3 linked regions of the Mus musculus genome follow. The main gene of each other region encodes a partner of the protein of the gene in region 3 in a complex. Links are inferred from orthologs where the notes say so. Each region holds a gene or a part of one and is shown on either strand. Other genes may lie near its edges.

Evidence for each region.
Region 1: the proteins of Vegfa (region 3) and Nrp2 are in contact, whole or in part, in a crystal structure (PDB 5DN2), measured with the Homo sapiens proteins. The link is inferred for Mus musculus from reciprocal best matches to the Homo sapiens genes VEGFA and NRP2. Residues at the interface, in NP_003367.4 of Homo sapiens: Lys392, Pro393, Arg394, Arg395; in NP_957718.1 of Homo sapiens: Tyr299, Ser300, Asp301, Trp304, Thr319, Asp323, Ser349, Glu351, Thr352, Asn354, Tyr356, Gly417, Ile418.
Region 2: the proteins of Vegfa (region 3) and Kdr are in contact, whole or in part, in a crystal structure (PDB 3V2A), measured with the Homo sapiens proteins. The link is inferred for Mus musculus from reciprocal best matches to the Homo sapiens genes VEGFA and KDR. Residues at the interface, in NP_003367.4 of Homo sapiens: Pro246, Asp247, Ile249, Glu250, Ile252, Lys254, Met287, Ile289, Pro291, His292, Gln295, Ile297; in NP_002244.1 of Homo sapiens: His133, Val135, Tyr137, Ile215, Val216, Val217, Val218, Val219, Gly220, Tyr221, Asn253, Gly255, Ile256, Asp257, Phe258, Val273, Asn274, Arg275, Asp276, Phe288, Ser311, Gly312, Leu313.

What each region holds. Positions count from the first base shown.
Region 1 is NC_000067.6:62,741,233-62,744,876, reverse strand, and holds part of Nrp2 (neuropilin-2 isoform 2 precursor), read right to left. Parts: intron 703-3,644; coding exon 472-702; intron 1-471.
Region 2 is NC_000071.6:75,957,875-75,961,518, forward strand, and holds part of Kdr (vascular endothelial growth factor receptor 2 isoform 1 precursor), read right to left. Parts: intron 2,945-3,644; coding exon 2,836-2,944; intron 1,585-2,835; coding exon 1,243-1,584; coding exon of another isoform or gene 1,202-1,242; exon of another isoform or gene 1-1,201. UniProt on the Homo sapiens protein: Tyrosine-protein kinase that acts as a cell-surface receptor for VEGFA, VEGFC and VEGFD. Plays an essential role in the regulation of angiogenesis, vascular development, vascular permeability, and embryonic hematopoiesis.
Region 3 is NC_000083.6:46,029,546-46,033,914, forward strand, and holds the start of Vegfa (vascular endothelial growth factor A), read right to left. Parts: upstream 2,833-4,369; 5' UTR 2,346-2,832; coding exon 1,746-2,345; intron 1-1,745.

The sequences.
Region 1 (3,644 bases), on a different chromosome or scaffold from region 3:
CCCCTCTTGGCTATAAATGCTTGCTTTTCAATATCCATGACTATATTAAATAGTAATAAAATAATAGTACTCGTGATAATAGTGATGATAGGTATTTCCCAGACAACATACTGAGAGGTTCAATACCTTGGCTGGGTTGTACGTCAGAGAGATTCAAGTCCAGTCACTTTGGCTTTAAATCCTTCTATACGGCCACATCATATGATAATTGATTCACTTCTATTTTAATAACTTATGTAGAAAGGAACAACACTTATAGTTTTGCAATCTCTAATGGTTAATCTCAGTTTTCACTTGATGAAATTTAGAATCATCTTAGAGACAGTCCTCTGGGTATATCTCTGGGGGATTACCTTGACTGGGTTAATCGAAGTGGGAAGATGTGCCCACTTTGGGTGCTACTATTCCCTAGGTTAGAGTCCTGACCTTCATAAGAAGGAGAAAGGGAGCTGAGCATAAGCGTTCACTCACCATGTGGAATGCCATCCCAGATGTCCAGCCAGTCATATTTACAGTCTCCTTCCCCCACTTGTAGAGGGTCATGCTCCAGGTCAAAGGTCAGGAACTGTAGGATGATCTCCATCCTGGGTTTGGCCAGGATGGTGAAGGTACAGTCCAGATTGTGTGGATACTTCTCTGGAAACCCTGGAGATTCAATGGTCCCATTGGGGCTTGTAAAGTTCTTGGAACAATCTTCAGAGCCTGAGAGAGAGAGAGAGACAGAGACAGAGACAGAGAGAGAGAGAGAGAGGGAGAGAAGGAGAGAGAGAAGTTATTAGAGAGTAGCCTTTCTCTGCTCTCTCCTCTGCCTTTGGGTTATTTAAATGTTTGTGTCTATGTCCCCTTGTCTAAACAAGGTTTTTATTTCTGTTCAAGTAGCACTTGGAACAACACATCCTTGCCCTCTGTGTTTCAAGTCCTCAAGCCAGCCTCCCTTTTGGACAGAAATTAGGACAGTGCAGCCGATTGCTTTGAATATTAGAATAAGAGCAACAGTCGAGGGATTGGAGGGTAAGAGGTAAAGAGGGGTGTGTGTGTGTGTGTGTGTGTGTGTGAGAGAGAGAGAGAGAGAGAGAGAGAGACAGAGAGAGAGAGAGACAGAGAGAGAGAGAGAGATCTTGAAAGAGGGACAGAGTCTTCTTTCTCAATTACTCAGCTGCTCACTCCAGAATGTAAGTTATTTCAATCCTTAAGGAAGGCTTGCTGGTTGCCAGCAGAGAAAACAATGTTATCCCTTATTTATTGCTGACCTCAACACTAGCCTCTATTGTACCCTAGCCAGCTAAGTGCCCCTTCTCCCTCCAAGTTCCAAGGTGCCTCAGGGGAGGGGCAAAGGGGAGCTGGAGCCTCCCTCATGTCCTGACTGGATTAAACGGGCTGCTCTGTAGTGGTGGGACAATTAACAATCGAGGTTTTCAGCCGGTAGATCACAGCAGGGCGTTGGGGATGTTAAAGGCCGCTCTGGTGGCGAGTCTGGAAAAATGCAGCAGTGTATTGACATTTGGAAGGCTTCTGGTGCCTTTGTGGTGGGGATGGCCTTGTTTCCCTCCTAAGCTCTTGGGTTAGCTTTCTTGGGATGCATCCTGATGAAACATGCCACACACTCACACAATCGCAGCCTGCTACAGGCTTGGGCAGCAGCAGCAGGAACAGAGAGGATTACAGCCACCACAACCCCAGAGGTGGAGTCATAGTAGAGGAGCCCTTGTGCTTTAAACCCAGCAACTGTTGGCTCTGGGCAGAGCCAGGAACAGAGACCCAGCATATACAAAGAGCAAGAGTGAGTACGAGTTAATGATGTGGGTGCAAATGCTGGCAATTACAGTAGTTTTTATTCACTACGTTTGGATTTTAAAATAAGTAAAGGAAGCAGAATTTAGGAAAGGGATAATAGACACTCTAAGCATGACGAAAACAACAACAACAACTAAAAACAACAAACAACACAGAAATACTCAATAAACCAGGTGTTTACCGGCAGGAAGTACCCTCTGGAGATCACACTGAAATATAACTGTGGGTTGTCAATATGCCGATCTTAGCCGGCAGCGACCACATCTTTATCTAAGGCTCCTGTAGCAGGCAGGGCCCTCTGCAAGTCTCTATGCATGATGACTTTCTGGAAAGTGCAAATATCTGACTTGGAGAAGGTCCCGTGCAAACAGGTATATGTGTATTTGGGGTAGGCTCGTAACTTTCTGTAGTTCAGGCGGCATAGGGAATTCCCAGCATCTACAGCTATATCCATGGATTACCTCCTTCCGTTGTCATTGCTGCACCTTGGGCTGTGTAGGGGATGCGGACCAGGAGCAAGAAAGAACCTTCCTGGGTTATTTGGAGCTCTAGGGGCCACATCTCAGAGGCTTTGCCTTTCGCTCAGTGGCACAACAGCAGCAGGGAAGTCCCAACCTTGCCAGTGGGCAGCTAGCTTGGGTGGGATGAGCAGGGGTGCCCCTCCCTGCTTCCTCAGCTTTGTTTACCAGCAGGCAGCAAACTCCTGAGGGCTTCCTCAGTGGCCTGGGATGATGTGATTTGGGAAAGCCAGGCCAGCTGGCTGGTCTTCAGGGGGCCAAGAAGAATTTTGAAAAGGTTAGAGTTTAAGGCTGCTATGCAGATTTCTTCACAGCACACACAGGGAGCCTCACACAGTGCTGGATGGGAATCAAGTCTCTGTTCACAACTGACTTGAGAGTTAGCCTCTGGAGAGTTCCCTCCTAGAGCTGGCTCCATTGTCAACCCTTCAGAAGGCACGGGGACTCGGCGCCTCCTTGGGAGCTGGGAATTTATGATAGAATCTTTGATCCTTGTCATCCTTGGGGGAACAAAGTGTTTGAACAATGGGCGTGTAGAGCCTAATACGGGCCCTGGAGAACGTGAGACTCTAAAACATTCTGTTTCAGGATCATCGGGTCTAGCATGTAACTGGAAGGGATTTTTCAACATCAAGTACTCAAGGCCAAACAAATAACAAACAAACAAACAAACAAAACCAGTGCATGTCTGATACATGGTTAGAAATAGATACATTCCTTTCTTGTTTTGAGGGTGGTGAGAAGACATTATTGTTTTATCCTTTGCAAGCAGAAAAAAATCAGGCATCTTATAAAATTATATATTTGTCTCTGGTCCCACCATGGTCAAGGCACCTGAATGGCAACCAAAAACCCCAGGTCAAAAGGGATCCTGGCAATGGAGGCAAACTGAGAGTCTTGCAGAAATCTGACTAATTCACAATCCTTTCCCGAAACATGTTAAAAGGACACAATTTTTAAAATACCCAGCTGACAAACATTGATGTCGATTCGATGATAAGATGACTCTTGGAGGTTTGAGCCAGTGTGGTGGCTCATACCTGAAATCCAAGCACTGTAATTCTAGGAAACTGAGGCAGGAGGACCACCGTGAGTTCTAGGCAAGCCTGAACTATGAACTGAATTCTAGGACAGTGTGGGCTACAGAGTGAGGCTCTGGCTCATAAAACAGCAGAACAACACAAAACTGAAGTTGTGGGGCCTGGGCTGGAGCAAAGCATTCCTTCCAAAGTCTTTGGCCTGAAGAATAGTTTACATCATGGAAGTATAGGAAGAGGAGCCTAACCCATACAAAGATAACAAAAATACACTGGCCTATCAGAAGTCAAGCTT
Region 2 (3,644 bases), on a different chromosome or scaffold from region 3:
CCACACTTAGCAGAACGTGGTCATTTCCACCATGTACTATATATATCAGAGTTTAAACAAGTGTACTTGGCTCTGGCCTACTTCCAAGAACAGAGTTTTGGAAACAACAGAGGCATCCTTATAGAAGCATACCCACTGACTGTGATAGGAAACTTCCTGGTCATGGCTAAGCCCAGAGCTCCCTTCTAAACTTGCCCTCATCTGGATCAGCTACTGTTAACCTGATATAACGGGTCCTATGTGTGGTGTGATCTCTAGGGTCTTGGGAACAACTTCACTCAGAAACATCTGTCCTTCTGTCCCCAAGTTTCTTTTTAATAACAATCATATGTTAGCATCTATTTTCAAACACCCCCTCAGATAAGCCAAAGCACTTAAAAATGATATTCATGTAAAATGTTGATGTAGATTAGTTAGCCTGGGCAGTTCACCTTTCTCACACTATAAACCAGAGAAGATGCACATCACGAGAACCTCAGAGAGCACAACAAAGAAAGGAGAAAATGGCAGGAAAAAAGCACAGAGATGCCTCCTAAACTCACCAGATATCCTCAGAGCAGAGATTGCCTAGGTTTTGTGCAAAGTACAAGGTTAGACAAGACAGGCTAGCATCCCCACAGGAAATGTGAAAGTTTTTTTTTTCTAATCCCAAACTTATCTCACTGAACTTCACCTACTGCAGACCACATAGGCTACCAGAGGAGTACAGGCAATGAGTGTGGCACCCCTTCCGTGGAATCTTCTAGATCTTAAATTCAGACCCTCATCACACTTTTCATGAAGCAGGTATCCCATTGACCACCTTGTATGTGCCAGTGTGTTCTCTGACTAAAATTACGGCAGTAAGCAAGCAAAGATCAATTTTTATCCCCAGGAGTTGGAGACACCACAATGGCACGACCACCCGGTATTTGCCTATAGTCTCACCCTCTCCTTCTGGGTCATCACTTTGAGCTTCTGACCCTCTCTTTGCTAATAGTATTACACACATGTGCTAACTGTAATCATCTGAATGTCCAGGGATGCCACAGGAAGTTCTCTGGATTTAAGCTAATCCCTTGCACATACTAGTAGTGACATCATCTTAAAGGCTAGAAAGAGTCAAGCTGTCTTCTAATTTTAATGTCTTACCTCACCACTGTTAGCTTTGCTCTGCTTCCAGGAGTGTGCCAGCCTACTACAACACTCAAACACACTGCATTTAAGGCATTGCAATTCTGTCACCCAGGGATGCCTCCATACCTAGGATGATGAGCTGTTTGACCAGGCAATGTCTTTTCTTGGTCTTCTTATCTTGAGCAGAGCAAACATAGTCGCCTTGGTCCTGCAGAGAGGCATTCTGAAATGCCACAATCAAGATGTCATTTGTGCTGTTAGAAAACATGGTGCCATTCAGTTTCCAAAGAGCATCCAAGTTCTTGCAAACTGGTGTGAGTGATTCGCCCATGTGGACCGATGTTGCCTGTGAGCCAAGCTTGTACCACGTGAGGTTCTCAAACGTATTTCTGTCTGCAGTGCACAACAGGGACACACTCTCCTGCTCAGTTGGCTGGGCAGCAGGTTGCACAGTAATTTCAGGACCCCCTGAAATGTAAAGCCATAGTTAGTGGATAGTTAACTTAAGTTGGTGCATGACACAATTGTCTTCTTGCTGCTATGATGAACTAAGAAACAGCTCTCGCAGTCCCAAGTCATTACTACAAAGACAGACCCAAATCAGACAATTCATTTTGCAAAATGTATTATTTGGAAATGTGAAATTAATTTTCCCCAAGTATTCACTGCATTTGACTTTGAGTTCTAGATATGGTTTCCAAGATGAAAAAAAAAAAACAAAAAACAACAACAACAAAACAAACAAAAAGATTAAAGCAGGGCATTTAATCACCACATGGAATCTTTAATGATGCCTTCTTATTAATACATGATATGAAAACTACATTTATTACAAGTAATTACCTCAGACTAAAATATCTGAGCCAGTACAATCAGCTTAAATTTACCCATAAAACTAGGCTGCAGCGACAAACTCTGGAGTGTAGAAAAGCAGAGGCCAGTGACTTCACATCATTTCCATACTCTAGAAGCCCCGGCCCTGGTGCTGTTCTATCACAAACCCACAGATAACTTCACAAACCCCAGCAAGTCATGAATCACACTGACTCTGGCAAGCAAGACAAGCCACACCTGTACTGGCTGGTTTGGGGTGTCAACTTAACACAGGCTGGAGTTATCACAGAGAAAGGAGCTTCAGTTGGGGAAGTGCCTCCATGCGATCCAGCTGTGGGGCATTTTCTCAATGAGTGATCAAGGGGGGAGGGCCCCTTGTGGGTGGGACCATCCCTGGACTGGCAGTTTTTGGGTTCTATAAGAAAGCAAGCTGAGCAAGCCAGGGGAAGCAAGCCAGGAAAGAAACATCCCTCCATGGCCTCTGCATCAGCTCCTGCTTTCTGCCCTGCTAGAGTTCCAGTCTTGACTTCCTTTGGTGATGAAAAGCAGTGTGGAAGTGTAAGCTGAATAAACCCTTTCCTCCCCAACTTGCTTCTTGGTCATGATGTTTGTGCAGGAATAGAAACCCTGACTAAGACAACACCCAACATGGGACTTGAGGCTTAAAGCACAAGTGGAAACCTTCTCTGACCAGTGATAGGATAGCACATGAACTCTCACACGAGCCCGGGGCCTGCATGAGCAGATTTAATGCATTACCGTCAAGTCCTAGCTACACACCACACCACTTGCACAAATTTCAAAGACAACCGAGGACCTCACAACTTATTAGCACCCACTTTCTGAGGGTGCCCCGCCCCACCCTCTAAAGAGTTCTCTACTCACTGATCACATGGAAGGAGATGACCCTCTCTCCTCGTCCCGCTTTGTTGATGGCTTCACATTTGTACAACGCTGACACGTTGGCAGCTTGGATGACCAGCGTACTTACAGTCTGTGAACGTACAAGACCCAAGCCATGAACAATGCAGGCTGAACATGTGTGCGCGCAAACACACACACACACACACACACACACACACACACACACACTGAGACTGACCGTTCATCAGCACCCACAGCTGCTAAGAACTGCCTTTGCCATTCATGGTACACCCTGCCCATTGGCAAAGGTAAACAGCTCTAACCAGGCAGTTAGACAGGGGGTGCAAAAGTGCTTTGGAAATCCTCAAGGATTCACTTTAATGAATGAACATAACTGACACTTTTCCTTTTTCATGTGCAGAGTCAGAATTACTTTACAACAAGTGTATACACTACATGGTATTATGTGCTTCATTTCTCTTCCATGAACTGCTAGTAAGCTATGGGTACTGTGGGGGTTCCCCTTCTCCTTTTACATTAGTAGATATTAATTGTGCAAAATAGCAGGTTTTATTAGGACATTTTTATACATGTATATAATATATTAGATTATATCCACTCCCAATGATTCTGTCTTCCCCCACTCCACTCCAAATGATCCCTCTCCTCTTCCCAAATAGTCTTCTCTACCTCCGATGTCTTTTATTTTATCTTGACTCGTATGTAGGAAAATCATATGTGCATTGCTAAGTCGAACTTATTTTGCTTCATGTGATGATCTCATCTTTCTGCAAATGGCATAAGTTTGTTCCTCTTTAAGATTGAAGGGG
Region 3 (4,369 bases):
CTCACTACCCCCTCAATAGCCCCATGACATTCTCCTTATTCTTCTGTCTAGCCCCCCGTGGAGAAAGGGAACAGAAACTTTGAACCCCTTCCCAGATGGGGAGGTTCTAAGGCAGGGACTGGCCAGGTGTCCTTCTCTGGGGGCCTCTGAAGGTCACACTGTGGCCAAGCACTCCTATCCTCCTCCCCACATGGAGGCCCAGAACCAAGGCCTTTGTGCCAGGGTCTGGGGAACTCTGGATGGTGGCAGGGACACCTGCCCTTCTCCTTCCTTCTGCCTCCTTTCCAAGAAGGCTCTACAACTGAAGCTTCGTGGAAATAAGCATGAAAGGACCCTTTGGTAGGCAAGTTGGGTGGGCAAGTTCGCAGTTAAACCACCTGCTCTCTGGGCATCGGGCTTTGCCAGGACAAAGTGTGTGAGAGATACTGACTGACAAGGGATCCTGCCAAAGGTATGGGAAAGGGCTGGTTCCAGGCTGCCCCTGTCAGAGCAAATATCAAGTCATGTTTCCAAAGGGGGGGTGGGGGTGGGAAATGGGGTGATGTCAGTCCACCCTTCGTTGATCCACCCCCCCCCCCGCAAAAAAAAAAAAAAACCTGAAGCACAGCTGTGAGGGGAGGAGGGAGCACACCTTCACCAACTCAAAACTTAGGTCAGCGTTTCCACAAAGAACCCGAGGGTGGGCCTCAGCACCCCCACGCCTGACAGTCACCGTCCTTTTCCTGGACCCTGGGTCCAGGAAAGGTCCGATGAGTCTTCGCAAAGAAAAGGAAAATATAAAAGGGTGGGAAGGGCTTCTCTTTTTACACCAGGCAGGAAATGGGGAAAAGGGGGAAGGGGCGTCGGGAAATTCTTCCTAGCGCGAGGCACGGGTAGAAGTTGGGAACGGAGGAAAGAGGTATGGGAGTTTCTCCGGGTCCCGGAGCTGGGGATACCTCCAGAGGTCACCTTCCTCGCGGAGGGCCGGTGGGGGGAGGGGCGCCGCTCGTCGCCCGGGTCTCCGGGCTCCGGCAGCCGCGGCTCCGGGAACACGAGGCCGGCCAGGCCCGGGCTGATGTAATCGGCTCTGCGCCGCGCGCGCCCGGCCAGGCGGGGGAGGGCGGGCACCGCGCGGGACGCGAGCGGGGACGGGAGGGGGTGGCGCGGTGCAGGTGGCCCAACAAGCTAGAGCGGTGGGAGAGGGTCCCCGCAGCAATCCATCCTAAAACTTTCCCCAAACTCACTGCAAGGGCCTCAGAGACCCAAACGGCAGTGACAGCAAAGCCCCCTCGGTCGCCCGCGCCCTGCCCCCTCCACGATCTCTGCCCTCCCCGGGTCCAAGGTCCGAGCACCCCCAGGCATGCCCGCTGGGCTCCGGACTCCCGCCCCCTTTGCCCGGACTTCCAGTTCTCCGGGGACCCGCGACCCGGAGCAAACTTCTGCCGCCAGCCTCGGCACAAGCCCAGCCCCCTCAGCCTCCTCCTCTGGCTCCCGCCCTCCGCTGCTCGGCCCAGATCGTACGTGCGGTGACTCTGGTGGGTGGGCAGGGCCCGCGTGGGCGGCGAGACGATCCTGGCGCCCTCCCACCTAGCGCGCACCCCCTCCCCCTCCACGTACGACGACAGAGGGGGACGCCTCGCGCCCGGTGCCCAAGGACCCGCGTGGGGCACGAAGCCCCCCACGCGCGCGCTCGCACGCACGCACGTCCCCAAGCGGGAGAGGCGCTCGCCACGGCCCGGCGACAGCAGACGGGCACGACCGCTTACCTTGGCATGGTGGAGGTACAGCAGTAAAGCCAGGGTCCAGTGCACCCAAGAGAGCAGAAAGTTCATGGTTTCGGAGGCCCGTCCGGGGCCGGCGCGGCTCGCGCTCCCTCTCCGGCTCGGACTGCGAGGCAGCCCGCTCTCTTGCGCGCCTTGGCGGGCTCCTCTCCCTTCTGGAACCGAGGCCCGGGCCGGGGCCTGGGGCGCGCGCGCGGCTGGAGCACTGTCTGCGCACACGGCCGCCTCACCCGTCCATGAGCTCGGCTCCTGAGAGCCGAGCGCCCACTGCGGCCCCCTCTCCTCTTCCTTCTCTTCCTCCCCTCTCTTCTCGGGCCCCGGCTTCTCCAGGCCCGAGCTAGCACTTCTCCCAGCTCCGATCGGTTTGTCTCCTGCGGCGCAGACCACGGCTACTACGGAGCGAGAAGAGCCCAGAAGTTGGACGAAAAGTTTCCGTGCAATCCCGCGAGCCCCGACCCCCTCCACCCCGCCTCCGGGCGCGGGCTTCGGTTCCTCGCGGCTCGCCGCCGCGTCCACCGTCGGCAGCCCGCCGGCGAGGAGGTGGGCGCTGGGGCTGGGGGCGGTGTCTGTCTGTCTGTCCGTCAGCGCGACTGGTCCGATGCAAGATCCCAAGGGGGAGGGCTCACGCCGCGCTCTGGCGGTCACCCCCAAAAGCAGGTCAGTCACTTTGCCCCTGTCCCTCTCTCTGTTCGCTCGCCAGCGCGCTCTCTCTGACCGGTCTCTCTCTCTCTTCCTTGACTTCTCTCTGGAGCTCTTGATACCTCTTTCGTCTGCTGATTTCCACAATCCGAAGTGATTTGAGGGAGTGAAGAACCAACCTCCTCAAACCGTTGGCACGATTTAAGAGGGGAATAGGAAGCAAAAATAAATTAAAGCGTAAAACAATACAGTTTAAGAAAAAAAAATTAAGAGGTTTGAATATCAAATCCCAGAGCACAGACTCCCGGGCTGGTGAGTCCGCTGAATAGTCTGCCTTGTCGCTGCGTCTCGCGACAGAGCTCCGCTGCCGCCGCTCAGCTCGCCCCCAGTGCCGCGGCCTCGCTGCAGCTCGGCTGCCCCAAGCCTCTGCGCTTCTCACCGGTAACAGCGGTGGAAGAAAAAGAGGAAATCTAGCTCCACCCCCAAGCCCCGCCCAGACCCGCCCCGGGGAGCGGTCTGGTGGAGCCAGGCACCGCCTTTCGGGGAGCCCCTAGGCCACTACCGCGAAATGGAAAGCTAAACCCCTTACCAGGGTCCACGGCCTCAAAATTATCTGTGCACCCCTTCAAACTGGGCTCAGGAACACACTGGGAATCCCAGAGTATTGGGAATCAGGGGAGACAGGAGAGTGAGGTTATATGCGGACAGGGTCTAAGAACAATTCCCTTTCCCAGGAATATAGGAGAAAGTAGGGGTTGGAAGGCGGAGAGCTGGCAGGGACGTATGAGGATAGGGACAACTAGAGTGACCCCTGGCTTTCTCCCCCACCTCACAAACACACTACACACACACACACATGCATGCACGCACTCACATTGACACACGCGTCCTCCCTCACGCAGACTCGGCTCGCCCAAGTTCACGATCTCCCCGTGATGGCCGAGCGCCCCCTAGTGACTACATTATGCACACCCCAACTCTTGCTCAAATGGCACGGGTCTTGGAAAGGGGGTGAGAGTTGATTCTTGAGTGCGGCAGACTTTGAGCTCCCAAATAATTGCGTGTTTCTGACATACACACACACCCAAAAAGTTGCGTGTTTGACCTCGGAAGCATAACTCTAGGTTTATATGTGGGGAGGGGGTTACGGGGGGGGGGGAGTATGCTTATCTGAGCCCTTGTCTGATCTGCAGTCATCAGGAGCTAGGGCCCTGGGGTGAATGGGATCCTCTGGGAAGTTTCCAGAGAGGCTTCTCTGGAGAGAATTTGGCACCAAATTTGTGGCACTGAGAACGGGAAGTGGAGTTCTGGAGTTAGTCAGTGGCGGGGAGTGAGACGACCTGTGGAAACCCACGTATGCACTGTGTAGTCTGGCAGAGCCCTGAAGGAGAGACAGCTGGGCAGACAGAGGCCCTTGTTCCTCCTGATCTCTCTCTCTCACACACACACACACACACACACAGAGATGTTGCCAGGGAACTGAAGCCAGGGTGCCAATGGGGGCAGAAGCGGGCCAGGCCGGCATGGTGATTCAAACCTACCCTAGCATTCAGAAAGGTAGGTAGGCCAGCTGCCCAGCGCTGCCGCCAACCCTCGGAAGGGTGGGAGTAGAGGCTCCCTCAGTTCTAGCCTAGGCTTACGGTTCATCTTCTAAACAGAATTCAGGGGTGTACTCTGTCCTCCCATTCTCCCTAAAACCCTTGGCTATTTCTCTATGCTTGCACACTTAGCCCGTGTGGCTCTGTCCCCTCTCTTTCTACTAAGTCCCCTTCTCCATGTCCTCAGTGTCTTCCTTAAGAGCTCTCCAAAACCCCCACCTCTAACCCACCCTTGGATATAGGAACCAGCCTGGAAAAATTCCTGGTTGGGCTTTGGCCCAGCTGCTCCTAGGCTCCCCTGGGAACAAGAGGGGGCTCCGATACCTGTGGGAAGAGAGGGACCAACCAGTCCCAGCCCTCACCCAGATCTGC